4 linked regions of the Saccharomyces cerevisiae S288C genome follow. The gene in region 3 interacts genetically with the main gene of each other region. Each region holds a gene or a part of one and is shown on either strand. Other genes may lie near its edges. The genes, in order: PPT2, FAB1, CIN1 and STU2.

What was found.
Region 1: mutations in CIN1 (region 3) and PPT2 together harm fitness more than expected from each alone (negative genetic interaction), as found in Saccharomyces cerevisiae (2 studies listed by BioGRID).
Region 2: mutations in CIN1 (region 3) and FAB1 together harm fitness more than expected from each alone (negative genetic interaction), as found in Saccharomyces cerevisiae (2 studies listed by BioGRID).
Region 4: mutations in CIN1 (region 3) and STU2 together harm fitness more than expected from each alone (negative genetic interaction), as found in Saccharomyces cerevisiae (2 studies listed by BioGRID).

Annotation. Positions count from the first base shown.
Region 1 is NC_001148.4:271,794-277,217, forward strand, and holds PPT2 (holo-[acyl-carrier-protein] synthase), read right to left. Parts: upstream 1,023-5,424; coding exon 501-1,022; downstream 1-500. Other genes in the region: ATG5 (Atg5p), read left to right, coding at 1-401; ATP-binding cassette long-chain fatty acid transporter PXA1, read left to right, coding at 1,462-4,074; NOP53 (Nop53p), read right to left, coding at 4,369-5,424. UniProt on the Saccharomyces cerevisiae protein: Transfers the 4'-phosphopantetheine moiety from coenzyme A to a Ser of mitochondrial acyl-carrier-protein.
Region 2 is NC_001138.5:181,709-192,232, forward strand, and holds FAB1 (1-phosphatidylinositol-3-phosphate 5-kinase), read left to right. Parts: upstream 1-2,793; coding exon 2,794-9,630; downstream 9,631-10,524. Other genes in the region: IGD1 (Igd1p), read right to left, coding at 566-1,153; YFR018C (uncharacterized protein), read right to left, coding at 1,423-2,514. UniProt on the Saccharomyces cerevisiae protein: The PI(3,5)P2 regulatory complex regulates both the synthesis and turnover of phosphatidylinositol 3,5-bisphosphate (PtdIns(3,5)P2).
Region 3 is NC_001147.6:988,283-996,335, reverse strand, and holds CIN1 (Cin1p), read right to left. Parts: upstream 6,548-8,053; coding exon 3,503-6,547; downstream 1-3,502. Other genes in the region: serine/threonine protein kinase MEK1, read left to right, coding at 1-1,318; MNE1 (Mne1p), read left to right, coding at 1,481-3,472; proline permease PUT4, read left to right, coding at 7,554-8,053.
Region 4 is NC_001144.5:233,383-241,371, forward strand, and holds STU2 (Stu2p), read right to left. Parts: upstream 4,322-7,989; coding exon 1,655-4,321; downstream 1-1,654. Other genes in the region: PDC1 (indolepyruvate decarboxylase 1), read right to left, coding at 1-699; YLR046C (uncharacterized protein), read right to left, coding at 4,619-5,431; FRE8 (putative ferric-chelate reductase), read right to left, coding at 5,965-7,989.

The sequences.
Region 1 (5,424 bases), on a different chromosome or scaffold from region 3:
TTATGTCTTTATCGGTCAACGAAGCTCGAAAATTTTGGGGCAGTGTTATTACGAGAAATTTCCAAGATTTCATTGAAATATCTAACAAGATAAGTTCATCAAGACCGCGACATATACCGCTCATCATTCAAACCTCAAGGACATCAGGAACTTTTCGAATATCACAACCAACTATCAGTATGACTGGAGTCAATCCTACGTTGAAGGATATTGAAGGCGATATTCTGGACGTAAAGGAAGGAATCAATGGTAATGATGTCATGGTTATTTGTCAAGGAATTGAAATTCCTTGGCATATGCTCCTGTATGATTTGTATTCTAAATTGCGAAGTTTTGATGGCTTTTTGTACATAACTCTTGTTCCTATAAAAGGCGGCGATAAAGCTTCCTCTGAGCTCTAAGAGCTGTTATATACGCATTTAAAAGTGTCATTCAAATATCGCAGAAAATAACTTGGACGTTGAAAATAGGGCCACATTTATACGGCTGCAAGAAAACTTTTACTCTCTTTCTACCAAGTTTGTTACTGCAATTAAATAATCTTTATCATGGGATAGCGAAACTAAAAACTCATGAGTGGAAAAGAGAGAATCGTAGTTTTTCGAGAGCTGTTGATACTTTGGATACTTTTTTCCAAACATCTTATCAAACTCTAACTGAGGTACACCTGTATCGGTTTGTGTTTTATATAGCATTCCAGCGTACAGTACTTGGGCAGGAGGTAGATCATGCTTTGAAACACAGCAACACAACGCTTTCAATGAGCATTCCTTCAAAGCCCAAACTCCCGCTATATATTCATGCAATCGTGGAGTTAAGCAGTTTTCTTCGATGAGAAGATTACTGAAATGAAATCTTTCCTTTTCATGCATGAACTTCCGTGTTATTTTATTCAAGGTAGAACGGCCACATGGGTCGAATGGGGAATATTTCTCTAGTATATGTGCAAATCTTGGCAAGTATACAATGTCAACTCCCACTCCTGCTATCTTACGTCCAATATTCCTCGATGCAAAACTCATCACTGGAGGCATTCAAAGCTAGCACTTATGAAATAAACGTTCATTAGAAAGCAATACTCCTGATAAGAAAATAGTGCTTAGCTTCTATTCAGCCTTCTTAAAGAACTAGCTTTTCTATCAAAAGTCAGATCTCTTATGACCGCTTGAACCTGTGGAATGTATATAAGCAGTTTTGATGTTAAGATTTTTTTTTCAATAGAATTTCTTCCTTCGGAAATAATCCCGATTAAGAAATTATTCTTGACGCAATATTCAGCTATATGTTGATCGGGCTTAACCGCATAAGTTTCGTTACCCTTTTTTACCCCAATTTTTAATTTCGGCGGTTATTTTCAGCCCTTTTAGAGTCAAGATATATAAGAATGCTTCTCTAAGAAGTGAGACTAACAATGAAACCCGTTTCAGACAATCTGGAAGTCTTAGAACGCATAACACAGAAATGTCAACAACATTAGCAGCACCAGCGAAACTAAAGAGTTTGCTCCTGAATCTACATACTCACTGTATTGGGCTACACGTTAACGATGTCACACCTAAAGTATATTTCAAGTTATTGATACGGCATCTTCTACAGATATCTAGATCAAACGCTGCTCATCCTAAGCTAAGAAGAAGGGCCCAGATTTTATTGGTATCGCTTTTCCTATCTGGTGTCACACTTTTTTCTGGTGTAACATATAGTACTTTCAAAATTATTCTAAAATGTTATAAATTTTACAAGTTTCCATGGAAGAGAAGGAATAGGAGACCTTTAATAAGAAGAACAAGATCTCAAATGCAATTAGACAGTGGTGCAAGAATAATGTATATTCCTGAAGTGGAATTAGTCGACCGCCAGAGTCCCGATGACAACAAATTTATGAATGCTACAGATAAAAAAAAAAGGAAAAGGATATTTATTCCACCAAAGGATAACGATGTATATGAACACGATAAGTTTCTTTTTAAAAATGTAGAACTGGAAAGAGCCAAGAATTCGCAGTTATTCTACTCAAAATTTTTAAACCAAATGAACGTCTTGTCTAAAATTTTAATTCCAACAGTTTTTGACAAAAACTTTCTTCTTTTAACTGCTCAAATTTTTTTCCTGGTGATGAGAACTTGGCTCTCTTTGTTTGTAGCCAAGCTGGATGGACAAATAGTCAAAAATATAATTGCTGGTAGAGGAAGAAGCTTTCTGTGGGACTTAGGGTGTTGGTTTTTAATTGCTGTCCCTGCTTCTTATACTAATAGTGCTATTAAGCTACTTCAAAGGAAGTTGAGTTTAAACTTTAGGGTAAATTTGACACGTTACATCCATGACATGTATTTGGATAAAAGACTAACATTTTACAAATTAATTTTTGATGCAAAGGCGTCCAATTCGGTAATCAAGAATATCGACAACTCCATTACTAATGATGTTGCAAAATTTTGCGATGCGACATGCTCCGTTTTTGCAAACATTGCAAAGCCAGTTATTGATTTAATATTCTTTTCGGTTTATTTACGTGATAATTTGGGAACTGTGGGAGTAGCAGGTATATTTGTTAATTATTTCATTACTGGGTTTATTTTGAGGAAATACACGCCACCATTAGGTAAATTGGCAGGCGAGAGATCTGCTTCAGACGGCGATTACTACAATTATCATCTAAACATGATAAATAATAGCGAAGAGATCGCATTTTACCAAGGAACAGCAGTGGAAAGGACGAAAGTTAAAGAGTTGTATGATGTGCTGATGGAAAAAATGCTGCTGGTTGATAAAGTCAAGTTTGGTTACAATATGTTGGAAGACTATGTTTTAAAATATACATGGTCCGGTTTGGGTTATGTTTTTGCCTCAATCCCTATCGTTATGTCTACCTTAGCGACAGGCATCAATTCAGAGGAAAAAAATATGAAGGAATTTATAGTCAACAAAAGGTTGATGTTGTCGCTTGCAGATGCAGGCTCGAGATTGATGCATTCGATAAAGGACATCTCACAATTGACCGGCTACACTAATAGGATATTTACTCTGCTTTCCGTCTTACACAGGGTTCACTCTCTGAACTTTAATTACGGCGCTGTTCCTTCAATCCTGTCAATACGTACAGAAGACGCTTCCAGAAATTCCAACTTATTACCCACCACGGATAATTCGCAAGATGCTATTCGTGGTACTATTCAACGCAATTTTAACGGTATTCGGTTAGAAAATATAGACGTAATCATTCCATCAGTAAGGGCGAGCGAAGGCATAAAGCTGATTAACAAGCTTACATTTCAAATTCCTTTGCATATTGACCCAATAACTTCAAAGTCCAATTCTATACAAGACTTATCGAAGGCAAATGATATAAAGTTACCATTTTTGCAGGGTTCTGGCTCCAGCCTGTTAATATTAGGGCCAAATGGTTGCGGTAAAAGTTCAATTCAACGCATTATAGCTGAAATATGGCCAGTGTATAACAAAAATGGATTATTGTCGATTCCTTCAGAAAATAATATTTTTTTTATTCCTCAGAAACCATATTTTAGTAGAGGTGGAACTTTAAGAGACCAAATTATATACCCCATGTCCTCGGATGAATTCTTTGATAGGGGGTTTAGAGATAAGGAGCTAGTACAGATATTAGTCGAAGTGAAACTAGATTATCTTTTAAAAAGAGGCGTTGGCTTAACTTACCTAGATGCCATTGCCGATTGGAAGGACTTATTAAGTGGTGGTGAAAAGCAAAGAGTAAATTTTGCTAGAATCATGTTTCATAAACCACTATACGTAGTATTAGATGAGGCTACAAACGCAATTAGTGTTGACATGGAAGACTATCTGTTCAATCTTTTAAAACGATACAGATTCAATTTCATTTCCATATCACAAAGACCCACATTAATCAAATATCATGAAATGTTACTAGAGATCGGTGAAAATCGAGATGGCAAATGGCAATTACAGGCAGTTGGTACCGATGAAGCAATCACGTCGATTGACAACGAGATTGAGGAATTGGAGAGAAAACTAGAAAGAGTAAAAGGTTGGGAAGATGAGAGGACGAAGCTACGGGAAAAGCTTGAAATTATTTGAAAACACCCTAGAAAGGGAGAGATTTTATTTAGCGAATATAATTTATATATTATTTCCGTAACTGAATTTGTACTTTTGAATGTTTAACTGATATCTAGAGATATCGACATGGGAATGCCCTCTCAAACTAGAAAAGGGCAGAGAACGAAAAGAAAATGAAACAATTTGTTACCTACTATACAGTTGTTGGTCTTGCCAACACAAATATGAACATATATATATATATCTCACTTGATGAATCCACGTATCAAGGACAACCTTTTCATGGAAACATATACTGTAAAACAAAAAACTCTATTTGAAGTCCTTATGTGTCCACTTTTCAGTGATTTTCTGCTTATACTTTCTACCTTTCCTAACGGGCACTCTTGTTTCGACCTTACCAGAACTTTGTAGTTTTCTCACAGTATCATATAGCAGATTTCCTTCAGGTTTCAGTTTTCTCAATGAGTCAGATAATTCGTCAGAAAATTTAATCTCCAATCTTTCATCAATCACAGAGTATTTCGTCCCTAACTTGTGTTTCTTATTTTTCTTGCTTTTTTTAACCTTGTTGCTATCTGACTCTATGGCTGAAAGTATCTCAGTCTCTTCAGAATTGATAACTTCTTCTAAATCTTTAACACGTTGTCTCAATTCTTTCAACTCTTGTTGCAATTTTACTTTCTCTTCATGTCTCTTTGCCTTGTTTCTTTGATATTTTGTTTTCTTTTTATTCTTCACAGGCTTATTTATTGATAGTTTTATTTCCTTATCAGATCCACTACATTGCGTACTTTCATTTTCATTTTCATTTTCTTCTTCTTCTTCTTCTTCTTCTTCGTTTGATGAAGACTCTTCCTCTTCATTGTCATCTAAAGTTTCCATTAAATGTCTAATTCTTTCTTTGTACTTTTCCAAGGCGATTCTTTCATCTTCTCTTGCCTTTTCCTCTTTATACTCTTTGTTTATCAATTCTGACCAAGCTTTATTGTTGGGATTGTAGGATTTACCAGCATGTGGAATTTCTGTGAATTCTTTTACTGCAATTGGCTCTATATCTAAAGTACTTGGTCTGACTGAAGCAGTAGACCAACTTGTCGTGGATTTTTTCAATAGTTCTTCAGGTATCTGGTCCTTTTTTTCCACATCAAGTTTGATACCGGAAGGTAATTTGACCTTCTGTTTCTTTGAATTGGATTCTTCACCCCATAAGTCGCCAGCCGTTGTTTTAACTAGACCGTCTTTGGCAACTCTATTCTTGATCTTCGATTCGCCGTGTACTCTGCCAGCCAAAGCCATTAATTTCTTTAATTCGTGTTTAGAAACACCTTGAATCTTATTAGGATTTCCACTACTATTCTTATGGTG
Region 2 (10,524 bases), on a different chromosome or scaffold from region 3:
ATGACATCTGAAACAGATTAAGTTTTTTTGTAACTTGTGCCCGTTGAAATAGGAATTAACTGTTATAATTGACAATATTCATGTCAACACTATATAGTAATATATAATAAAGAAGGTAACTTAAATGGCGATAGGCGGTCAACAAGTCTAGGGAATCAGAAATGCAAGAATGAATAACGTAATAGGATAGCGAAGGAACATATCAAAAACAAGGGAAAAAAAAATTGGTTCTATATCTAGATATATCTAGAATTTTTGGACTGGTTTTATCTCAATTTCCACCTATCTTTATGTATTATCTTTCGACCGTCTTATCTTTTAATATGGTGGCAGGAATACCAGTCAGACAATGATTGGATCTTGTCTCGGGTTGTTTGTTATCACGTAAGCACCACAGTCCGCTCCGTAGGAAAAGAAAAATAGCCGCCGAGCCACGGGAGCAAATGAGTGAAGAATATGCGCAACGTTTTGGTACATATACAAAAAAATGTAGAAAAGAAGCTAAAGAGATTGACGTTACGTACATATGTATGAGTGGGTAGGTGTGGACGACACTAGGGAGGCTTTACTTCTCTCCAAACATGTGAAGCTGGTTATAGATGTCCTTCTTAAAGTCCTCGTACTTAAAAGACGACTTTCTACGCGTGCCCAACTGTGGAGGAGAGCCGTGTGGGACTCTTGCGCTGTTACCATTGCTGTTGTTGTCAAGGTACGAGTTTTTGAAAATGGGTCTGTTGCCAGCACGAGAACAGATCGGTGTATGGGAGATGGAGTCACCCATATCCACGCCAGCGTGGCTCAGGTCAGAGTCGTTAGTGGTCCTGTATTGCATATTGTGGATAGTATTCTGGAAATCCATGGGTCCGCTACTCCTACGTTCGGCTCCCGGGGCGTGCTCCCCGATACTGCTTTCGCGTTCCCGGGCTTGTTCCCTGGAATTTAGTGCGTCCATATAATTGGTAGACCGCCGTCTAATCATGGGGACTGGCTTGTCTACGCTTTGAGCGGGAGCGCTTGGACCCGGGAGGTTGAATGTAGAAACACTAGGTGTTTCCTGTGCACAGGGCGGTTCGTCGATGTTGAGGAAGTCCTGTGATCTTTCAAATGTGGGTGACGTGCTCACTTGGGGCGTGTTCAAGTGGGGATCTGTCATGAGGGTGAGTGTATGCGTGTGTGTGTGTGTTGCGTAGATGTGTGATTTACTATGTGTTATGTAGCTGCTCTCATCGCTGCTGATAGTAGATCTCTCGCGCAAAAATTACTCAGGCAAACCTTTACTATACCTACATATATATATATATATATGTATATGTATGTGTGCAAGCTTTTCAGAGTGGTGCACTGACATTGACCGGGCCACTCATTCCACCCCACATCCCCCAGATCAGGGGGAGATGTTAACGAAAGGAAACAGGGGATTTATCACTGGTTACGGGAGCGTAGTGACTGTACTACAAATTCGCACACAAGCAGCGCCCAGTGACGAGTCTCCGCGGCGTCTAAGTGCCGGAAGTCATCATCCACGGTGTGCCATGTACTTGGGAATGGTAGCGGGATTGCATGTAATACGGGTACTCCGGCGGCCAGGAATGGCGTGTGGTCGTCTCCGATGACCGAATGCCCGAGCCCTAAAAATCGATAGTCCGTGGGGTCCAGATGTTTGCGTTGACGCGCGACTTCGGCGGCTAATGCCGATTCGCCGTTGATTTCATCTCCACGTCGAAATAACAAGTCATCCTCTATTCGATTGAGCAGCTGATATTCTTGATGTGTCTCTGCATAGTAGCTGGGCACTAGCGGCTCCTCTTCGCCACTTCCTAAAAGATCCAGAAGAAATAATAGGCGAATTCTTGTCATCGTGCCGTCAGCAAGCCATTGGGCGGCTAATCGGCGTGCTCCATAAATCGAGTCCTCGGGGCCCCACTCTTCAATGGCCTCCTCTCCATCAAAGAATACGATCTTTACACCCAAGGTAGAATTCGATACTACAGTGTTCGACTCTAAGTCATTGTACTCTTTCGTGCGCTCGTGGCACGCGATGTGCGTTAGGAACTGGGCCGTATATAGCAGCGCGGCACACGAGGCGGCACTGTCGATAGCGCCCACCATCCCCGTGGGCGCTATCTTGGTATCATAATGAGCAGCGAGCACTAAGTACTCGCTCGCATTGTTTTGTAATGTCATAACAAGGTTATTGAAGCGGTAACCGTTCTCCTCAAAGGCTTGCGTCTCAACGGCCCATTCTCCCGCCAGCGTATTGTTGAAGTGCTCGATGATGAAGCGCTGGATCTCGCGCGAGCCTTCCGATCCGGGTACGCGCGTTCTGTTAAAAGGCAACAGCAGGTTCTTGGTACTTTTGTTCCAACCGCTGTCTGGGTTGATAGCTTCGTTCAGATGCGCTGCATGGTACTGCTCATATGACAACTCCCACCCAGTTACCCTATGCACCTGAAATAGCACCAACAGGTACGCTAGACCAATTAGTCGCAAAGGCAATACGTACTTCATTCCCATGCTTACGACCTTTTCAGTCTTTTTATTTCTTTTCTGTTGACTCTCTCTAACTCTCCCTCTCCCCCTCTTCTTCCCATGAAATGTATCACAAGCCGTCTTATTCCTTTGCTTCTTATATTCTTATGTTCCTTCCTTCGTCTCGCCTCGAAGGCAACGCAAACGCAATGTACTTCTTGACGAACGCGAAAACCATATGGAAAGTAAATAAAGGGCCAAACAAAAAACTATTTCGAATAGCAAGGTAGCTTCCATCCTGTACATGCAAGACCGTCACACAGCATGTCATCGGAAGAACCCCATGCATCTATATCCTTTCCAGATGGCTCACATGTCCGGTCGTCCTCCACTGGTACTTCATCTGTGAACACAATCGATGCTACCTTATCCAGACCGAACTATATTAAGAAACCGTCCCTGCACATTATGTCGACATCTACGACGTCGACTACGACGGATCTAGTGACAAACCCAATTCTGAGCAATATCTCCGTGCCAAAAATAAGCCCCCCCACATCATCCTCGATAGCAACAGCGACATCAACAAGTCACGTGACCGGCACTGCGTCGCATTCGAACATTAAAGCTAATGCTAACACTAGTACCAGCGTGAATAAGAAAAATTTGCCGCCAACAACTAGTGGGAGGATACCCTCTAGCACCATCAAGAGATATCCGAGTCGCTATAAGCCTTCTCACTCGCTGCAGCTGCCCATTAAGAACGACTCCAACTTTAAACGATCTAGCATATATGCCTCCAAATCCACTGTTACTGCTATCCCCATTAGGAACAATCGGCCAATTTCCATGCAGAATTCCTATGCGCGCACTCCTGACAGCGATCATGACGACGTTGGCGATGAAGTGTCTTCGATAAAGAGTGCCTCTTCTTCGTTGACCGCATCCCTGTCCAAGAGTTTCCTGTTCGCATTTTATAACAACCGCAAGAAGGACAAGACCAGTAACAATGGTGTCCTCTCAAAGGAATATTGGATGAAGGACGAGAGTTCTAAAGAATGTTTCAGTTGTGGTAAAACGTTTAACACTTTCAGAAGGAAACACCACTGCAGGATATGCGGCCAAATTTTTTGCAGCAGTTGCACTCTCTTGATAGATGGTGATCGATTCGGCTGTCATGCCAAGATGCGAGTATGTTACAATTGTTATGAGCATGCAGACACATACGAGGACTCCAGTGATGAAGAGAATGATTCTACAATGCAATTGAATGAGCCAAGGTCTCGCTCTCGCTCTCGTTCTTCCAATACCAATCCATATTCTCATTCACATTCGCATTTGCATCTCATTTCACAGGACAACCATAACGGTACCGATCTCCATGATCCAGTAGCAGCAACGGATAACCCTCAACAGCAGAATGAGGTCTACCTATTAAATGACGATGACGTACAAAGTATAATGACCTCAGGTGAAGATTCTAAATTGTTCATTTCTACACCCCCACCACCACCGAAGATGGCCATCCCAGCAACAAAGCAAGGCGGATCGCTGGAAATCTCATTCGATTCGGAAAACGATAGGGCTTTGCATTATCAAGATGACAACCCCGGTCGCCATCATCACCTCGATTCCGTGCCCACAAGGTACACTATCAGAGATATGGACAATATATCACATTACGATACCAACTCTAATTCCACTTTGAGGCCACATTATAACACCAATAACAGCACTATTACCATCAACAACCTCAACAACACTACTTCCAACAACAGCAACTATAACAATACCAATAGCAACAGCAACATCAATAATCCTGCGCATTCCTTAAGAAGGTCTATTTTCCATTATGTAAGCAGCAATAGTGTTAACAAGGACAGTAACAATAGCTCTGCAACACCCGCTTCGTCTGCACAGTCTTCTTCCATACTGGATCCTGCCAATCGTATTATCGGGAATTATGCTCATAGAAATTACAAGTTTAAATTCAACTACAATTCCAAAGGTCCTTCGCAACAAAATGACACGGCAAATGGAAATAATGATAATAATAATAATAATAATAATAATAATAATAATAATAATAATAACAGTGCCAGCGGTATTGCTGACAACAATAACATTCCCTCAAACGACAATGGCACGACGTTCACTCTAGATAAGAAGAAAAGAAACCCACTGACAAAATCTAAATCTACGTCCGCTTACCTAGAATATCCTCTAAACGAGGAAGACTCTTCTGAGGACGAAGGTTCCATGTCCATATATTCTGTATTGAATGATGACCATAAAACTGACAATCCAATTAGATCAATGAGGAACTCCACAAAATCTTTTCAACGAGCGCAAGCTTCACTACAGCGGATGAGGTTTAGAAGGAAAAGTAAAAGCAAGCATTTTCCCAACAATTCGAAAAGTTCCATTTATAGAGACTTAAATTTCTTGACCAATAGTACTCCCAATTTACTTTCTGTAGTAAGCGACGATAATCTATACGACGATTCTTCTCCTTTGCAAGACAAGGCCTCTTCATCCGCTGCAAGCAGACTCACTGACAGAAAATTCAGCAATAGCAGTGGCAGCAATAATAATAGCAATAGTAATAGCAATATCAACACCGATCCTTGGAAGAGAATCGCTAGTATATCGGGATTCAAACTGAAAAAGGAAAAAAAGAGAGAATTAAATGAAGTCTCTCTTTTACATATGCATGCCCTATTAAAACAATTATTGAATGATCAAGAAATTTCCAATCTTCAAGAATGGATAACCCTTCTAGATGGCGCTTTGCGTAAAGTTTTAAGGACCATCCTGAACGCGAGGGATTTGAACACATTAGATTTTAGACAAACTTACGTTAAGATAAAAAGAATTAGTGGTGGATCTCCTCAAAATTCAGAATATATCGACGGGGTTGTCTTTTCGAAAGCATTGCCGTCGAAAACAATGCCACGGCATTTGAAAAACCCAAGGATACTATTAATCATGTTTCCACTGGAGTACCAAAAGAACAATAACCACTTTCTAAGTATAGAGTCCGTCTTTAGGCAAGAGCGCGAATATTTGGATAAACTTGTTTCGAGATTAAAGTCATTACATCCTGATATTATATACGTCGGCGCCAATGTTAGTGGGTACGCGTTAGAACTATTAAATGACTCAGGCATTGTCGTACAGTTTAATATGAAACCACAAGTCATTGAAAGAATTGCCAAGCTAACAGAAGCAGATATTGCCATTTCTGTGGATAAGTTGGCTACGAATATTAAGATGGGTGAATGTGAAACTTTTGAAGTTAAAAGCTACATTTATGGAAACATCAGTAAAACATATACATTTCTTCGGGGCTGTAACCCAGAACTTGGTGGAACAATTTTGTTAAGAGGTGATAGTCTTGAAAACTTGAGAAAAATCAAACAAGTCTCTGAATTTATGGTCTACGCAATTTTTTCATTGAAGTTGGAAAGTTCATTTTTTAACGATAATTTCATACAACTTTCTACAGATGTTTATTTGAAGAGAGCTGAATCCAAAAAACTGCAAGTTTTCGAAGGTTATTTTGCAGATTTCTTGATCAAATTCAATAACAGGATTTTGACTGTATCACCAACGGTAGATTTCCCCATTCCCTTTTTATTGGAAAAAGCCAGAGGCTTGGAAAAGAAGCTCATAGAAAGGATCAATCAATATGAAAGCGAATCTGATTTAGATCGGCAAACGCAACTAAATATGCTTCAAGGCTTAGAATCGACTATCACTAAGAAACACTTAGGAAATTTAATAAAATTCCTGCATGAAATGGAAATTGAAAATTTAGAGCTTGAGTTTCAGAAGAGAAGTCGTCAATGGGAGGTTTCATATTCATCATCACAGAACTTACTTGGTACGGGCTCACACCAGTCTATAACAGTTCTCTACTCAATGGTTTCAACAAAGACTGCCACACCTTGCGTTGGCCCTCAAATTGTTACTATTGACTATTTTTGGGACAGTGATATTTCCATTGGTCAGTTTATCGAGAACGTCGTGGGAACTGCCAGGTATCCCTGCCAACAAGGCTGTAATGGTCTGTATTTGGATCATTATAGAAGCTATGTTCATGGGTCAGGAAAAGTAGACGTTTTAATCGAAAAATTCCAAACTAGATTACCAAAATTAAAAGATATTATCCTCACGTGGAGTTATTGTAAAAAATGTGGGACATCTACTCCGATTTTACAAATTAGCGAAAAAACCTGGAATCATTCTTTCGGTAAATATTTAGAAGTCATGTTTTGGAGTTACAAAGATAGCGTGACAGGAATTGGGAAATGTCCTCATGATTTCACTAAAGATCATGTCAAATACTTTGGTTACAATGATTTAGTGGTTCGACTAGAATATTCTGATTTAGAAGTTCATGAATTGATAACCCCACCACGCAAAATAAAATGGAAACCTCATATCGACATCAAACTGAAGGTGGAACTATACTATAAGATTCTGGAAAAGATCAATAATTTCTATGGGAGTGTCCTAAGTCGGTTGGAACGTATTAAATTGGATAGTATGACTAAAGATAAAGTTCTTAGTGGACAAGCTAAAATTATCGAATTGAAGAGCAATGCTACAGAGGAGCAAAAATTAATGTTGCAAGACCTGGATACTTTTTACGCAGATAGTCCTTGCGATCAACATTTACCATTGAACCTGGTTATCAAATCTCTATACGATAAGGCTGTAAATTGGAACTCTACATTTGCGATATTTGCAAAAAGCTATTTGCCTTCTGAAACTGATATTAGTCGTATCACGGCCAAGCAGCTGAAAAAACTGTTTTACGATTCTTCAAGAAAAGACAGCGAAGACAAAAAATCACTTCATGATGAAAAGGCGAAGACGAGGAAACCAGAAAAGAACGAATTACCGTTAGAGGGATTGAAAGATGTCGAAAAGCCGAAAATTGATAGCAAGAATACGACAGAGAATCGTGACAGAACGAACGAACCACAGAATGCCGTGACGATAACCACTTTTAAAGACGACACTCCAATTATTCCAACAAGTGGTACTAGTCACTTGACAGTTACACCTTCTGCATCGTCGGTTTCTTCTTCTTTGACCCCTCAAACCGAAGAACGTCCGCCAATAAGCAGAAGTGGAACAGGTATATCTATGACTCATGATAAAAGCACTAGACCTAACATAAGAAAAATGAGTAGTGATAGTAGTTTATGTGGACTAGCATCACTTGCTAATGAATATAGTAAAAATAATAAGGTGAGTAAGCTAGCTACATTTTTCGATCAAATGCATTTTGATGCCCTGTCGAAAGAATTTGAACTGGAACGTGAAAGGGAAAGATTACAACTTAATAAGGATAAATACCAAGCCATACGATTACAAACATCCACACCAATTGTGGAAATTTATAAAAATGTCAAAGACGCAGTTGATGAACCGCTTCACTCTAGAAGTTCAGGCAATAATTTGTCATCTGCGAATGTTAAGACTTTGGAGGCACCTGTGGGAGAACATTCCCGGGCCAATAATTGTAATCCTCCTAATTTAGATCAAAACTTGGAAACTGAATTAGAAAATTCCATTAGCCAATGGGGAGAAAACATTTTGAACCCCTCTGGAAAGACCACCGCAAGTACTCATTTAAATTCTAAGCCAGTAGTAAAGGAAACTTCAGAAAATCCAAAGTCAATAGTTAGAGAATCAGATAATTCAAAGTCGGAGCCGCTTCCACCTGTAATAACAACAACAACTGTCAATAAGGTAGAATCCACTCCACAACCTGAAAAATCATTATTGATGAAAACCTTGAGCAACTTTTGGGCAGATCGATCTGCGTATTTGTGGAAACCCCTTGTTTATCCAACCTGTCCTTCGGAACACATTTTTACTGATAGTGACGTTATAATCCGCGAAGATGAACCAAGTTCCTTGATCGCATTTTGCTTAAGTACTTCTGACTATAGAAATAAAATGATGAACTTGAATGTCCAGCAACAACAGCAGCAGCAAACAGCAGAAGCTGCTCCTGCCAAAACAGGAGGAAACAGTGGAGGAACTACGCAAACCGGGGATCCTTCTGTTAACATTTCTCCCTCAGTTTCTACAACTTCTCATAATAAGGGGAGGGACTCAGAAATTTCATCCTTAGTAACCACCAAAGAGGGCTTGTTGAACACCCCTCCCATTGAAGGCGCCCGAGATAGGACCCCACAAGAATCACAAACGCATTCCCAAGCAAATTTAGATACTCTTCAAGAATTAGAGAAAATTATGACAAAAAAAACAGCCACACACTTGAGATATCAATTTGAGGAGGGTTTAACGGTAATGTCATGTAAAATTTTCTTCACAGAACATTTTGACGTGTTTAGAAAGATTTGTGATTGTCAAGAAAACTTCATTCAAAGTTTGTCAAGATGTGTTAAATGGGATTCCAATGGGGGGAAAAGTGGGAGCGGGTTTTTAAAGACTTTGGATGATAGATTTATTATAAAGGAGCTGTCACACGCAGAACTGGAAGCCTTCATAAAATTTGCACCAAGTTATTTTGAATACATGGCACAAGCAATGTTCCATGATTTGCCCACGACTTTGGCTAAAGTATTTGGGTTTTATCAAATTCAAGTAAAAAGCTCTATTTCAAGTTCCAAAAGTTATAAAATGGACGTTATCATTATGGAGAACTTATTTTATGAGAAGAAAACAACAAGAATATTTGATTTGAAGGGTTCCATGAGAAATAGACATGTCGAACAAACAGGTAAAGCTAATGAAGTGTTGTTGGATGAAAATATGGTAGAGTATATTTACGAATCACCTATTCATGTTCGCGAATATGACAAGAAACTTTTAAGAGCTTCTGTTTGGAACGACACATTATTTTTGGCCAAAATGAATGTGATGGATTATTCCTTAGTCATTGGTATTGACAATGAAGGGTATACTTTGACAGTAGGAATCATTGATTTCATTCGAACGTTTACATGGGACAAAAAACTAGAAAGTTGGGTCAAAGAGAAAGGCCTAGTAGGGGGGGCCAGTGTGATCAAGCAGCCTACCGTTGTTACACCAAGACAATATAAAAAACGTTTTAGGGAAGCAATGGAGAGGTATATTTTGATGGTTCCTGATCCGTGGTATAGGGAAGGAAATTAATACATAAACGTGTACAAGTTATATTCTGTAACTTTTTTTTATACACTATCACGCACATTAGTGTTCTTTAACTTTCAGTACCTTAGTAGTTATCAACTATGAAAAGGTGGTTCAATGAATGTTACGAAAGGTTTATTATAGAAGGATAAGAAGCAAAAATTTAAAAAAGAAATGCGTCACAGACAGGATTCGAACCTGCGCAGGTAAAACCCAATGCCTAATTGCTTTTCTGAGGAAATAGCAGGGCATCGCCTTAACCACTCGGCCACTGGGACAGAATCTCTTGGTTTGTTCAATGAAGTAAACTATTTTGTTGTAAACATAATGGGTATGTTTAACGGCGAGAGAAAACTATGCGAAATTTGGTATAATTGTTGTGTTTCCATTGTTGTTAAAGGCATTAACACTAAGTTTACAGAACATACTAGAAGTTGTTTTCGGCAACATAGGAATCTACAAAAGGGGATGGATAATTCTACATAATAATATTATTATTTCCCCTTTCATTGTTGACATAATGTTATAAATTCGTACTCTATGTTGCTGGTGTGCTTATGAACGCTACAATCAATTTTTTCATGCATACTTGAGGTAATAAGATGTCGATACTTTTATGGTGTTTATGAACATGGCAATACCCGTTACCACTCGTGTTGGGTGTAGGTACAGCAACACTAGATTCCGAATCACCCCCGTCATTGCCACCATACTACTGTAGCGATATGGCGAGTGTGTATCATTGTTGTTTTGTCGTTGGCCATCTTCAATATAATCAATATGAAAGCCAATCATGCATTTTGAAAAGATAGTCTCGCGGTCGGTGTTGAGGAACTTTTCATTGCCTACGTCGAAATCAAATTTTGAAAAGCTGTGGCTAGAGTTAAACCTAAAACA
Region 3 (8,053 bases):
TCTAACGAATCCCTCTATCTCCTCTGTTCATTGCGTGTTTTGGTGTGTCTTTTTTGATGAGGATAGTATTCCAATGTTCTACGTTAAAGATTGTTCTCTTAATGGAACGTATTTGAACGGTTTGCTTTTGAAAAGGGACAAAACGTATCTTTTAAAACATTGCGACGTTATTGAATTATCGCAGGGAAGTGAAGAAAATGACATTAAAAAAACACGACTAGTTTTTATGATTAATGATGATTTACAATCTTCTCTGGACCCAAAACTTTTAGATCAAATGGGTTTTCTGAGGGAAGTAGACCAATGGGAAATAACAAATAGAATAGTGGGTAATGGCACTTTCGGTCATGTTCTGATCACGCATAACTCAAAAGAACGTGATGAAGATGTCTGTTATCACCCTGAAAATTATGCTGTGAAGATCATTAAACTAAAACCAAATAAATTCGATAAAGAGGCTCGAATCCTTTTGAGACTGGATCACCCAAATATTATCAAAGTCTACCATACTTTCTGTGACAGGAACAATCACCTTTACATATTCCAGGATCTTATCCCTGGTGGTGATTTGTTTTCTTACCTAGCTAAAGGCGACTGTCTAACTTCCATGTCAGAAACTGAATCGCTATTGATCGTCTTTCAAATTTTGCAAGCTTTAAACTACCTTCATGATCAAGACATTGTTCACCGCGATTTGAAACTAGACAATATTTTGTTATGTACGCCAGAACCGTGCACTAGAATCGTCTTGGCAGACTTTGGTATAGCTAAAGATTTAAATTCCAACAAAGAAAGAATGCATACTGTCGTAGGCACTCCGGAATACTGCGCTCCAGAAGTTGGATTCAGAGCAAACAGAAAAGCATATCAAAGCTTCTCAAGAGCAGCTACGTTAGAGCAACGAGGTTATGACAGTAAATGTGATCTTTGGTCTTTGGGTGTCATTACACACATTATGTTAACAGGGATCTCGCCTTTTTATGGAGATGGTTCTGAGAGGAGTATTATTCAAAATGCAAAAATTGGGAAGCTGAATTTCAAACTGAAGCAGTGGGATATTGTTTCAGATAATGCCAAGAGTTTTGTCAAAGACCTTTTGCAAACTGACGTAGTTAAACGATTAAATAGTAAGCAAGGTCTCAAACATATTTGGATTGCAAAACACTTAAGTCAATTAGAGAGATTATATTACAAAAAGATATTGTGCAATAACGAAGGCCCTAAACTAGAAAGTATAAATTCAGACTGGAAAAGGAAGTTACCCAAAAGTGTTATCATTTCTCAGGCAATACCGAAAAAGAAGAAGGTTTTGGAGTAATCATAGGATTATCTCTTCCTCTTTCAAACTGCGCGTAGTTCAAAATAAAAAGGTATCTGTGTAAAAAAAAAAAAGTAAGTCAATTGTATGATTTTTAAGTAAAAGTTGCCCTTTTCTACTAGAAACGGCGAGAAAAAATGATAGTAGTGTGCCAAGAAGAATATGAAGTTACTTTTTAAAAGATATTCGTCTAGTCATATTGGTAAGCTGATTAAGGACTCTTTAATCACTCCTGAAATACTACCACAGCTAGGGCGACAGCCATCATCGCATAAACGTTTACCAAATAACAAAAGAACTAACTCAATAACTGATAAATGGTTGAAGGATGCGCTAACAAGAAAAGATAAACTGAATGAAGATAAGCTCCAAAATGTAAATTTACGATTAAATGTGGTACTGACTACTCTACAGAAGCTTCGTACATCCGATAATCCTGCTTTGTATTTTGCGTTGTTGAATCGTATTGGCACAGGTCACATAAAATGGCTAAATAAAAGTGGCCGACAGATTGATGCATTCCCACCTGATCGGCTGCCTTTGGAATTTTATCATGAGCTATCTAATATGCTCTATAAACTATCGCTTCGGTCCGCAAATGACAAAATTGCACTAGCTAAATTTTCATTGCAATTATTGGATCGCTATTATTTTCTTAAAACCAAATCTTTAACTATAGAAGGAAAATTTCGGGCAAACATAAAATTTTTGAGGAATTGTACTCTTTTAATTGTTAAATCCCAATCGAACTACTACTTAAGGGCAATACAGCGGTTGTTCGCGGAAAATTCGGAGGGTCAATTATTAGCCAATTTATCCCAGCTGGCATTTTATGTGGAGACCTCCCAATGGACAAGTATGTTGGATATTTTATCCTCATGTGTACCGGATTCTGGTTTAAGAGGTTCGAAGGAGCGTGAAAGAGCTATTCAATTGTTGGAGTTATTTAGTCCATGCCTAGTCAAAAGTCTAAAAGTAATGATAGCACAAAATATGGAGAATGAAGCTTGTCAGATTTTAAGGAGCTTGTCTGAATGGAACTTTCATTTTGATCAGCATGATTCCTCCAACTTGATACAATTATCCCAGAACCATTCTTGCCTCAAAGTTATTGAAACCATGAATGGATTATCATCAACTACCGCTGTCACTAGGCAATTCGGACTTGAAAAATTACCAACTGACGTGAGTTTGAAGCAGAGCATACATATTTTATCAAAAGATAATTTCGAACCTCTCAAGCAAGATTCATTTCTTCAATTTCTATCGTTTAAATTAAGTGATTTGCCTCTGAACTTAGAAGTATGGAAAAAGCACATTAAGGAGGTTGATGACCAAATGCAGGCTGAGTCCAACCTGCATTCCTTAAGAGCTTTTTTTATTGATATGCTACTGTGTCACTTATCTGTGCGCAAGGATTTCGATTTTATGCTTTCATTGGTCGAGCACATAGTATACGAAAAAAATTTATGGCAGCCATTATTACTCACAGATAATATAGTTGGAAACAAAGAAAATTCCACTTTTCATTGCCTCTTTCATGGCGCCTCTCAAGATATTTCTACCAAACTTACTCTACTGGCATTGTATAACCAGTTGAATGAAATCGGCTATCAATTTACCTCCCACGATTTTCTCTCGATGTTGAAAGTCTGCAAAAACTACTCTGATTCTGATTTTTTCTATTTTGCTTTCTATAATTTGTTGGTTACACAAAGTCACAAATTTTTTCTTTTCGATAAGTTTAGTGATAAGTTTTCGTGGAGGTTGCCAATACAAATCGGAGATGCAATTTCTGAATGGCTATCCAGCTTAGAAATTGATATACAAGAAAACACCGATAGAGTTTTGCAGATAACAGATGACGTCGGCGAATGGTATGTTGAGAATAAACCATTTAAGTCAGAAAAAGGGACCATTCAACCAATAAACATAATGGAATTGCGCAAAATTTTTGGGGAGCGAAAAACTCTATTTCATATGGATTCAGAAATTTTCCAAAAATCTAAAGCAAAAAGAGATAAAGAAATGCGGAATGAAGCTTTATTTACCGCAAATGATGCGGAATATAATTTTGCTGCGGATGTATCCTATGCAAAGAGAGTAGAAAATCTATTTTCTTACATAAGATCTAAGCAAATGCAACAAAAATAATGATTATATGTAAAATTTGCCGTTTACATTCTATAAAGTGATATCAGACTCTAATATATTCGCCAATTCATGTTTCTGGCAGGCCACTTGTAGAGCTTGGAGTTGCCTGGTGACACCTAATTCCAAAAATATCTGGAACATACCTTGTAAAGCGACATTTTGATCAGTCATAAATTTTGATTTTGTTGCGGCGTATTCACGTTTCACAAGAACCAACAACCTTTTCAGTATTATGTTGGATAGATTCTTCTGGTCAGCATTTTCTCTCATTGTGTGGTAACAAGATATTGCCAAGAACGGGAAGAATTTGATCACGCTTACTCTCAATGTCGTACAATCTAATAAATGTAGGTTATAGAACTTGGCGAAAACACCCTGAAAATTAAAATTTGGATGTAGAACAACCAACCCAGATTCCATGATTCTAGTCCAAAATTTTACACAATGAATGGTGAATTTGATGGTGTCAAATCTCATACCTCCTGTTAATGGATCCTTGTTACGATCGCGTATTCTTGATTCAGCGATTTGTTTAGCGCTTGGAATTATTCTGATTAAATCGTGGCATAATTCCAGCTGTTGTGAAGGAGACAAAGATCTGTAGTATACGATAAATGAATCTATTGATGAAGTAAGCTGAGAATCTGTAAAATGTATTGCTCCAGCGCTCACTGCATATCCTTTCCAGAATTCTTCACTTAAACCTTGCTTGTGACGGAAATTGAGTATCGAAGAGTCAGATAACACAGTGATTTGTGATGTGGCCGAAGCAAGTAATTGATAACTTAGTTTTCTGATCTCTGGTACAGGTTCCGCCAGCAATCTCGTTAATTTTGGATTGATGGAGTCGCAATCACCAGATAAGAAATCGGGATGGGATTGCATAAGTTTTAAAGCCTGTATTCTTACCAGACGTCCTACATCACCCTGTTGAGTTATTGTATAATCATCGAGACAGTTGATAATGATGTTGCGAAATTTTCGATACGAATTCGACGGGAGTAAGCTTATTCTAACATCCCAATGATGATCAAGTTCGCCTATCAAAAGCGATCTGGATTGAGGTGACAATAGGGGGAACTGGGAGAAGAAAAGGGAACACATCTTTTCTTGATCGGGCATATGACATATTGATCGGCAAGTCAGTTCGTTATCTGATTTAATTAATTGAACAATCCTTGTGTAGTTTAGGCTAACGCATTGAGATATTATTTGCTGTATTATAGGGATGAATTCGTTGTACAGATTTAACTTCTTTTGTGGGGATACTATGTCTACAAATTTCCAAAACAATTCCTGATTGAAATCATTTTGTCCTGTTAATTGCCAGTATTTCAAAATGACAAAAATTTGAAACAGTTCGGGCGAATTATCGTTAAATTGTCTTTTCGCTTGAGTAGTTAATTGGAATTTTATCTTTTTCTGGTAAATGTCGATACAAATCTCGCTTATTTTCGGGCAATTTACGTCATTTTCGAATAGTTTCAAGTACAAGTACAAAATTTGACAATTTTGTGTAACTGAGCTGCCAGCCTTGTTTAATACCTCTTGCAATAAAGCGGGTGAAGATAATTTCGACTTGATTAATGGAACTAGGTTATAATCTATGTTGAGTTTCATTGTGGTCAAATGTAAATTCTCTAGTAAATTCCAATTGAAGGACCAATCGCGGAATACCTTCCATACGCAAACAGCACTTTTGGAGGTGTTTTCGGGGTTGAACAGCCTACGAATTAGACCAGAGTTCTCCTCGAAAGACCTCGGTAGATCCTTCCAATTTGCTTGCAATATCAAAGCAATGTCATTTTGATTTAGCGCAAGAGATTTGTTGGACCTGCCCAATAATTCTTGGAGCGCGGCAAAACTCGAGTATCTGATTATTAATTCGGGGTCAAAAAAGGCGTTTATTAACAGATGAGAAAGTAGTGATTGTAGAACCTGCGGCGATAAACTATTGCTACGGTTTGACCTTATTACTGACCAGATAATGAAGTTTGTCGAGTCCCTGATATGGTGGCCCTTGATGATTTGAAAGTGAGATTTCTGAAAATGACATGTTTTAGGGATGATCAGAGTCAATACGCGGTCGACTAGATCTATAGGCAGAATTTTGGCCAGAGCCACCTCGGCGATGATCAGAAGGGAAGTGTGCAGCTCATTGCTATCGATAGAATCGCAAGGAGCCTGTAATAGGGAAACCGTATTTTCGATGGTATAATCAATGAGCTCGATAAAAGATGCTGGATCTGCCTGGTGCAGGAACTTGGCAATTTTAGCGAAGGAGTGTGCCAATTGGAATCTTGTGTCTGTGGAATTCGAACTTAAATGGTCATGGAAGAATTCTACTATAGCATCTAGGATATCATGAGAGCCATGATTGAACGAAATCTGGAATAATTTTGGCAGCAGCTTTATTCCGTCATTGGACAGTGCAACTTGTTGTAAGTGTCTTAGATTTTCATTGGAGAAGTAGTAGTTTGCCTTTTCCGAAGACTGAATAAACAGCTTTAAAAATTGGTTGAGAAACGGCACATTTGCCTGTTCCCGTTCCGGTAGCTGGTCAAAGGCATCTGTGAAGTTTTTGAAATATAAAACGGCTTTGATCTTGTTAATTGGAGGTATGCAAATGGGGTAGTTCTCGAACCTGGAAGATACTTGAAGCGTTTTGTTGAATTTATCTTTGAATGCGTAAGGTGAAAGCAGAATGACGCTTAGCCAAGAAAGGTTTAGATAGACGCACAAGACATCGCTGAAAGAAGAGGGCGAGGCTCGATCTTGTAAATAGTTTAAAATTTCGTTTAATCTAAAAATACTTGTATCTAATGATTTAAGGACTTTTGAGTGGGAGATCTTGTCAAGATTGTAGAAAAGCTCCGCAACAAGTTTCTGATCACGCTGTGACATACAAAAGAACGACTTGGTCAAAAGAGGCACGCATCTCGGTAGTATGGTGTCTAGAAGTGCAGGATCATCTTGAAATTTGTTGATCGCGGCAATCGTCTGTTGGTGCTTTTCTGGAGAAACGGTCTGAACTCCAGATTGTATCGAGTCCAGCAAGGCCCGAATATTGTTCATGATTGAAGGGTGTAAAGTGCGTGTGGTGGCGTTCTTTCCAAAAATATTATCGTCTTTCCTTTTTTTTTCTTTTTTTTTTTTTCAATAGTAATAGTATTTCCTAGTGATCTCGGCGATTTTCCTTGATTTCTCCAAAAGCGTTTTTACCCGGACGATATGAATCCATCTATTAAACATCATAACATCATATTATTTTTTTCTGTGCTTCTAAAACGGAGATCAAATACCGGGCCCGCGCGCGATGGCCGGATGTCCGTCCATACTGCAATGTGAATTCCCGCGCGGTTCAAATCTTGTCACAAGTTTGTCAAAATTGCTTGTCATGTCTGCCAAATCTCCAGGGTCCTAAATCTGAGGTAGCACGGCACGGCACAAGATGGTACCCATGGTGCGTGACGACAGCCGCTACTTGCACGGCTTTGTTCCGGCAGCCCGGGTACCCGCGCTGCGAGTTGAAACATCATCAAACCAAAAGGGAAGCGACGTTAGTTTTTTTCATTGCGCTAGCTATGACGTTTGGGTGGCCTAGCCGGTTCGCGTGTGCCTGTCGCTTTTGTCGCTTTTCAACTTCTGCCCGATATTTCCTATCAAAGGAAAATGGGACGTTTTCAACCCCTCGCTATCATCGTGCCTGCACTCTGCCTATCGCCAACTACACCGGGGTTTTATCTGCTTCACCCCTCCATCCAGTGCTGATAACAAGAAGAACCTTGCAGGGTAGGGCAGGACCTACGGCCAAAATACTAATTATGTCTGTTTATGTACATGCCCCAATCTGAATATTCCATGAATGTAGGCACAGCATATCTCCATCCATGTACTGATACAGACGCATAAACATATATGTATATACATACTTATACACTCGAATATTTGTAGACTGATGTACTTCTATATATATATAGGGGGTTTGTGTTCCTCTTCCTTTCCTTTTTTTTTCTCTCTTCCCTTCCAGTTTCTTTTATTCTTTGCTGTTTCGAAGAATCACACCATCAATGAATAAATCATGGTAAATATACTGCCCTTCCACAAGAACAATAGACACAGCGCGGGAGTCGTCACCTGCGCGGACGATGTTAGCGGCGACGGTAGCGGCGGCGACACCAAGAAGGAGGAGGATGTTGTCCAGGTAACGGAATCACCATCGTCCGGGTCGCGCAATAATCATCGCAGCGACAATGAAAAAGATGACGCCATCCGTATGGAGAAAATATCTAAGAACCAGTCCGCGTCGTCCAACGGCACCATCCGCGAGGATTTGATTATGGACGTGGACTTGGAGAAATCGCCCTCCGTCGATGGCGATAGCGAGCCGCACAAACTAAAACAAGGTTTGCAGTCGCGCCATGTGCAACTGATCGCGCTGGGCGGCGCCATCGGTACCGGTTTGCTGGTGGGGACTTCATCCACGCTTCATACGTGCGGTCCCGCGGGGCTGTTCATATCGTACATTATTATTTCCGCGGTGATCTACCCGATCATGTGCGCGCTGGGCGAAATGGTGTG
Region 4 (7,989 bases), on a different chromosome or scaffold from region 3:
CTTCTTAGTTTCAGCCTTGACGTCGTGTCTGGAACAACAAGCATCAGCCAAGATAACTGGGTTCTTAGCATCCTTGACCAAAGCCAAGATGGTGTCAATGACTTCCTTTTCGGATTCAGCATCGTTTGGCTTCAAAGACATGTCAATTGGAGTTTGCAACAACTTAGCTGGGACGTTCAAGTCGACCAAGTTAGCTGGCAAACCTAAGTAGACTGGTCTTTGGGTGACGTAAGTGGTTCTGATACATCTGTCAATTTCAGCTGGGGCGGTAGCAATGTCAGTGATCATAGCAGTGGTTTCAGAAATGTTGGCAGACATTCTGTGGAAAACAGTGAAGTCACCGTTACCCAAGGTGTGGTGCAACAACAATTGCTTAGCTTGAGCAGAGATGGATGGGACACCAACAACGTGCAAAACACCGACGTGTTCAGCGTAAGAACCGGCAATACCGTTCAAAGCAGACAATTCACCGACACCGAAGGTGGTGATGATACAAGACATACCCTTGATACGAGCGTAACCATCAGCGGCGTAAGCAGCGTTCAATTCGTTGGCGTTACCAGCCCATCTCATACCTTCAACTTCGTAGATCTTGTCCAACAAGGACAAGTTGAAGTCACCTGGCAAACCGAAAACGGTGTTAACGTTGACTTGCTTTAATCTTTCGAACAAATATTTACCCAAAGTAATTTCAGACATTTTGATTGATTTGACTGTGTTATTTTGCGTGAGGTTATGAGTAGAAAATAATAATTGAGAAAGGAATATGACAAGAAATATGAAAATAAAGGGAACAAACCCAAATCTGATTGCAAGGAGAGTGAAAGAGCCTTGTTTATATATTTTTTTTTCCTATGTTCAACGAGGACAGCTAGGTTTATGCAAAAATGTGCCATCACCATAAGCTGATTCAAATGAGCTAAAAAAAAAATAGTTAGAAAATAAGGTGGTGTTGAACGATAGCAAGTAGATCAAGACACCGTCTAACAGAAAAAGGGGCAGCGGACAATATTATGCAATTATGAAGAAAAGTACTCAAAGGGTCGGAAAAATATTCAAACGATATTTGCATAAAATCCTCAATTGATTGATTATTCCATAGTAAAATACCGTAACAACACAAAATTGTTCTCAAATTCATAAATTATTCATTTTTTCCACGAGCCTCATCACACGAAAAGTCAGAAGAGCATACATAATCTTTTAAATGCATAGGTTATGCATTTTGCAAATGCCACCAGGCAACAAAAATATGCGTTTAGCGGGCGGAATCGGGAAGGAAGCCGGAACCACCAAAAACTGGAAGCTACGTTTTTAAGGAAGGTATGGGTGCAGTGTGCTTATCTCAAGAAATATTAGTTATGATATAAGGTGTTGAAGTTTAGAGATAGGTAAATAAACGCGGGGTGTGTTTATTACATGAAGAAGAAGTTAGTTTCTGCCTTGCTTGTTTATCTTGCACATCACATCAGCGGAACATATGCTCACCCAGTCGCATGTTGTTACCCTCATGAAACATGTATGAGATATTACTTTGAATAGGTTACTTGCATGCATTTCGGCGTGCGGGTACCACCTCTTTGCATGAGCTTGTTCCTTTTTCAAGTTGAAGACTATATATTTTATTGAGTTTATGTTATGGGGAGGCTACCCTTTACGTCCTGGTTGTCCCTTCCCGCCTTGATTTGGCCTTCATTTTTTCAATTCTGGCCTTTAGGGTAGATGTCACTGCAGCGGCACGTTTATAACTTTCTTCTGAGGCAAAACTATCGTTGAAATCGATATCCAAATCGTCGGAGACACTGCTCACTCCAGTGCCGTTTTTTCTGTACGGCCGTATGTTAAGAGAGTTTACGCGGTGCGGCAGGTCGCCGATGGACTCGCTTGATCTTCTTTCATAGTTGACGTCCTCTTTCCTTCTGACATCTTCCTCCTCCTTAAATGGCAAAGCGGAAGATAAAGATTTTACCCCATAGTTGCTTGACACGGTGGAAGAAGGTATGGAGTATGATGAAATCGTACCCATCGATTGCAAGTTTGTATCATTTCTTTTCTTATTTCTATCCAATTCGATCTCCATGTTTCTAAGCTCGTTTTCTAGTGACAGTACTCTATCAGACAGCTTATTGACATCAATCTCCTTGGATCTTAATTGAATGTTCTTTTCGTTCAATTTAGACTGCGCTTCCTTTAGTTGCTCTCTTAGCATTTCGTTTTCTTTAATCATTTCGATCTTATAATTTTCTGTATTATTCATCTTTTCCAATAGGCTTTGTCTTTCTTTGGTCCATATCATCTCATCATTTTGTAGTTTTTGCAGTCTGTACTTGTATTCTTCAATCAACTTTTCATTCTTGTCAGTGCTATTAGCTACTACGTTTTTTGGCGTTGCCAAAGACTTAGACGTCAACAGGACCCTCGATTTATTGTTAGCAGCTACCATTGATGGTTTTGATGCGGAGGCTACTGACCCTATTGGGTTCACTTTACTTTTGTTATCATTTCTCAGCGGTGAAGATGCCACTCTCTTGGAGGGAAGTACAGAACTTTTTTTCAGGAGAAATTTATTCTCCATTGGCCCAGTTTGTTTATTCGTTTCAATAGTGCTATGGGTACTACCACTTGCAATACTGAAATTAGGTAGAGTTTTGACCGTTTCTTCAATTTTTTTCCTTTTCAAATTATCCAAGTGCTCTAATGTTTTCACAAAGGTATTCATGCCAAATATTTTAATTAGAATGGCGAAACTCTCAAATCCAATAGTTCTTATAGCAGGTTGGGTGTCGTTGACGATCTGAATCACAATTGGTACCACTTCATCCTTCAAGTATCTTTGCAGGGTCGAGTATCCATCTTTTTCTTCTTTCATGCTTGCATTAAACAATTGCGTACACTCCATTCTGATTTGAGGTGTCTTGTGCTTCATATGCTCCAAAATATCTTTCAACATATCTTCATTGCGTCCACTGGAGGCTAATGGATCGTAATACTTGCAGATGGTTAATAATGCCTTCCTAATGGCCTCTATCACAGAAGGTTTCTTTTCCTTTGTCCTGTCTAACAAGGGAGTGAAGACTAGTGAAACATAATCCTTGGAAAAGCCTGGTGTTTTTAGTTTGTCGCAGATTAATTCTACTGATTGAGCGGCTAGTGCAACAGCTTGAATGTTTGCATCTTTCTGGATAATATGGCCATATATCCCCAATAAGTTGGAATAATTTTGCGAGGTGCTTTTTAACTTCTTAGTCTGCGATAGAACACTATCCCAAAATTCTTCCAGCGCTTCCACTCTATCTTTCCATTTGGACGACGTTATCCTTTCCTGGAAGTCCTTAGGCAGTTTATCGAGGATCGTCTCCTCCGGTAGCATACTGAAGGTGTCTATTTGAACTCCACTTTGCTGTTTTGATGGTGGCATATCCGTTTCCATCCCCATCAATGTATCTCCATCCTTATCTATCTGATATTCCCCCTCATCATTCGATAATATGGACTTTCTTTTCCTGGCTTCCTCCTCTTGGCTTCTTTTCTTTTCCAATTCTCTTTTCTCCCACTCGAATAACATTTTCGATGACGATGGCTCGTCACCAACTTTTGCAAACAATTTATGAAGATCTTTCACTTGAATTGGTTTTAATTTTTTAAACAGTATCTCCTCTAACAAGTCGCTATTGTTGCCCGTAACCTTATAGATCTCGACAATCAAATTCATCGTTTGTGATCGAACGTTTCTATCACCATGACCGGCTAGTTGAGGTACGTGCTTTAATAATTCTGGTAGAAACGTTTGAACGTTCACATTAGTGAGCCCGAATGCAGCCATCAACTCATAAACACAATTGGCTGCCGCAGCAATTAATTTTGGCAGTTTTTTCTCGAAAAAGGGTATTACCAATTCCACCGATTGCGTAATAGATGTATCAAGACCACATAGTGAGAGTATACAGCTCATCGACTGCGTCTTCGTTGTAGCCCTTGAGGACGTTAAGCCCTTTTCCACAAGCAATGGTGTCCATGTTGATATTAAAGTAATATTATGTGCATTTTTCAAAGACGATGACGCAAAGGCATCTATTAAACTATTCAAGGCAACAATGGCTTGTTCTTGAGCGACCACATTAGAATCAGTTATATATTGTGCAAATAATGTAGGATCCCTCCAGTAAATTTGTATGTTGTCATCCCTACTGATGTCGCCAACGGAGTTTCTAAAAAGCTGGTTTAACTCCTTATAAGCTTCTAAACGTGCCTTCCATAACTTGTACGTTAATCGCTCTTCTAGGGGTAACGTTGTATAATCTACTTCTTCTTCTCCTGACATAGTCAACTTCAAACTCTTTAATAAAAACTCAAAAATACTTTACACTGTAAAGATAGCTGTTTCTTTGTAGTTTAGTAATGCTATTTGGTCCCTAGGTCTGGTAGGTTCTTCATTTACTCTTCCTATGGAGTGTCAAGCAGACAAAACAAAAACAAAAACAAAAACAAAAACGACACGAAAAAAAATAGATTCGTTAACCATGATAATCTTTGCACCATATAAAGGAAAAGACAAGATTGACTTCTAATGCCCAGCACAAATATTATCCAACTATTTAATTAATAAATTTTTGACTACTTAATCTTCAGACACAGATTCCTTGTCTAATAATTTGTTTAATTGAATATTGACAGATTTATCCTGCAGCTTGAACAAATTTCTTGCGCGAAAGGTTGCTAGGAAAATCAAAGGTAGTAAAAACATTAGAACTGTATCGAAAACGTAAAGGCACCATTCGTGCTGACCTATATAGCTTTGTAAGCCCATTAGAAATTGTACTACTCTGACAATGGTTCTACCATTAACCAGCAATATCCCAGCTAAAAGTATAAAATTGTACTGGAACCATTCATTACTATCCCGCACAATTTTACTAGGCGTTGCCTTCATTTTATAGTGAAGAAAAAGTTGACTGAACGTTAAAAAGGTATAACAAAATATCTGAATGAAAAGACCCACAATAATTAGGATACGCCCAGTATTCCTGCTGTTCCATGAGGATAACAACCCACCTCCTACAGCCTGTAGGACACGCCCAATCATATCTGCCACTACGAAAGAAACTGTACTAAATTTCGCAGGAATTAACATATATGCCTCCATAAGAATTAGACGTGCCATTTTGCTGAACAACATAAAAATACTAAGGGCGTAAAGTGAAGGTGCTATCAATAGAAGCACCGATTGAGCAATGAAAGTCGAAATCGAGGGGCTATTGATAAAGACTATTTTCAACACATAACCCACGAACTCTAAACAAATCCCTAAAACGAAAGGAAAATGTGTCCACATCAAACCGCGGGCAGGAAAGTATATTATTGTGGAATTTTCCTCTGACAACTCATTGTTTTCCCAGCGATGAATACGTCTCTTGCTCGTGTGTGTTGCCATTATGATCTGCACCAAGGCAGAAAGGATTAAAATGCCAAACAGAACGACAAATGCAATCGCTGCACCTTTGTGAGGATTGTATGCATAAAAACCTTCATAATCAGTGATTGCTTTAGTAAAAAAATTCCTATTGAGGCAGTTGAGTTCTTTTATCGACAATAAGTCTCTAGTACAGTAGTGAGAGTGTCATGTATTCAGTACCAAGAAGAACTTATATGCCTTTTATAATTCATCTTATAAGTTGCTAGACATACAAATAATCAATATGGAAATGTGCTTATTCCCGCTAATATCCATTAATATCCGCTGTCATTTTTCGCAACTATCACCAAGTGGAGAGAGGCTTGACAACCACCAGAAAAAAACTAAATCAGCCTGCGGAACTTTTCTCGGAAAAAATCAGTTAGAAAAGATCGTACATAGGGCCCTTTTTTGACAGTAAGATTAAAGAGCAAAACGGGACATTATAGATATGCCACCATCAAATACGTGAATTTTCCAAGCCTCATAAACTAATAGCCAACTTGCAACTCTTATAATGCAAAACTTTCTCCGTGAAAGTGTAAACCACCATCTGTCGCCCATCTTTTGGTGCTTTCAATTAAGCCTCTAGGGCCTGCAGCGAGAACCCATACTTGTGACAAATATTCAGCATGGTCTCTGCCTTGATTCGCCCACCTGCAACATTGAATAGAATCCGTCTCTGCATCACATTCGGTTTGCAGACACCATTCATAATCCTTATCTCCAAGTGTAGGCCTGCCAAAGAACACTTTAACACCTGCGGGAATTCTGATCTTTTTAGGCGCCGCCTCTAAACAAGGATCTTGGGCAGGTGGCTCAATGATCTTTGGTTGTCTGAAAACGCTCGATCCGTTAAACGAAGAATGTGTAGTTAGAGTTCCTTGTGCAGTATTTTTCCTTGATTTGGATCTGCTAAAAGCATATGTAAAATCTATCTCGTCATCAGCATTGATGTCAGGTATATCACTTGTTTTTGGTGGGTGATGGTTTCTCAAGGTAGATTTCTTACTTAGAAGGGCTGTGTTCTCATTGGGCTCCGTAGGTTGGGGATTTCCATCTGATAACATGGAATTATCTCCCAGTTCTGAAACTCGGCCGCTCGAAGAAATACTCCTGACTTCATCATTAATATCAGCAGCGCAGTCATGATAGTCAATATAATCAATTTCTATGTCCTGTTCGTTGCCTTCGGTGCCACTAATATATATCTCCATACCTTCAAAATTGTTTTTGAAGTGGTTCAATACTTCCAGATCCTTATAATCTCTAGAAACCCAAAGGAGCCTAACGTTTACACCGTTGAAGTTTAGAATACGAAGTAGTGGTAAGCCAAAGGAAATTCCTGAACCTCCAACACACATAAACACTCTTTGCGCTTTAATTAGAAAATTTAAAGGCGAATTTATTAGTGCAGAAGAATTGTTTCGAAATGGATTCTTGGAAGATTTCGTGGTAATATTAAAAGGAACAGTAGGTTTAGAAATGAAACTCAACTCAGGTTCAAAAGCCCCTGTAATGTAATACTTTTCATTTGTACGCAATGGAAAATGCCCGTTTCTAATAATTAACCTGACCAAATTATCACTTGGAATACTAGCAATAGTAAAAGGATGTTGGAAGGGTATCAAATGGGAGAAAAACCTCCTTAAAAAATTTCTATGGTAAATGTTGATCCTTAGATGCCCTCCTGGTAGGATGGGCTTTTTGGGTAAATCGGTTAATGGGAACTCCAAAAGAGACAATGATGAAGAAATGGGTACTATCGTAACTCTCGTAACATTGGTGATATGGAGCCTATAGACGATTTGTCCCGTTAATATGAGCACATTTAAAGTGGTATAATATGAAATTCCTGGGCGAGCGTGATAATGTAGAAACACCAAAATAAGCCATGTGCTTACATAGTGAACATAGTAAAAAACTCTGTAGCTCCATCGTCTGGCATATCTCACAGAGGTGATGGCAATCAGTAGGAAAAGGCCGAGGGCAATAACCCCATAAATGTTGGGTAGTTTTCTCATTTTCACGTATAACGTATCATTAATGTACATGTAATAGAGATAGAACCACGTGTGTAGAATAGATTCAAGCACAACAATTCTGGAAATCCATTTGTGGAGAGGTAACAATGCTAAGTATAACGTGTGAGGTAACGGTGATGGCCTCAACGTTAGAAATAGTAAAGGTGGCATCAAAGCAACGGAAATTCTCCCCATTCGCTTAGTAATTTCTAACAGATCTCCGTTAGCGCCTTGTATAACAAAAAACGAGGTGAAAACAAAGCATATTAAACATAGTTGTAGTGACTGTTTGTGATACATATGTGTTTTGTGAACCCATGATCTTCTGTTGAAAACATGATGCTTTAAATGGTGACATATTTTGAAGAATTTGTCAGTTAGCAACAAATAATTCATTAAGGGTATAATAACACATATTATAATGAAAGAAATTAAAAGACATATCTGAGAATATTTGCGGACTCTTAAAGTTCTAAAATGCTTGTCCACGTCGACATCAAAACTGGGAAGATG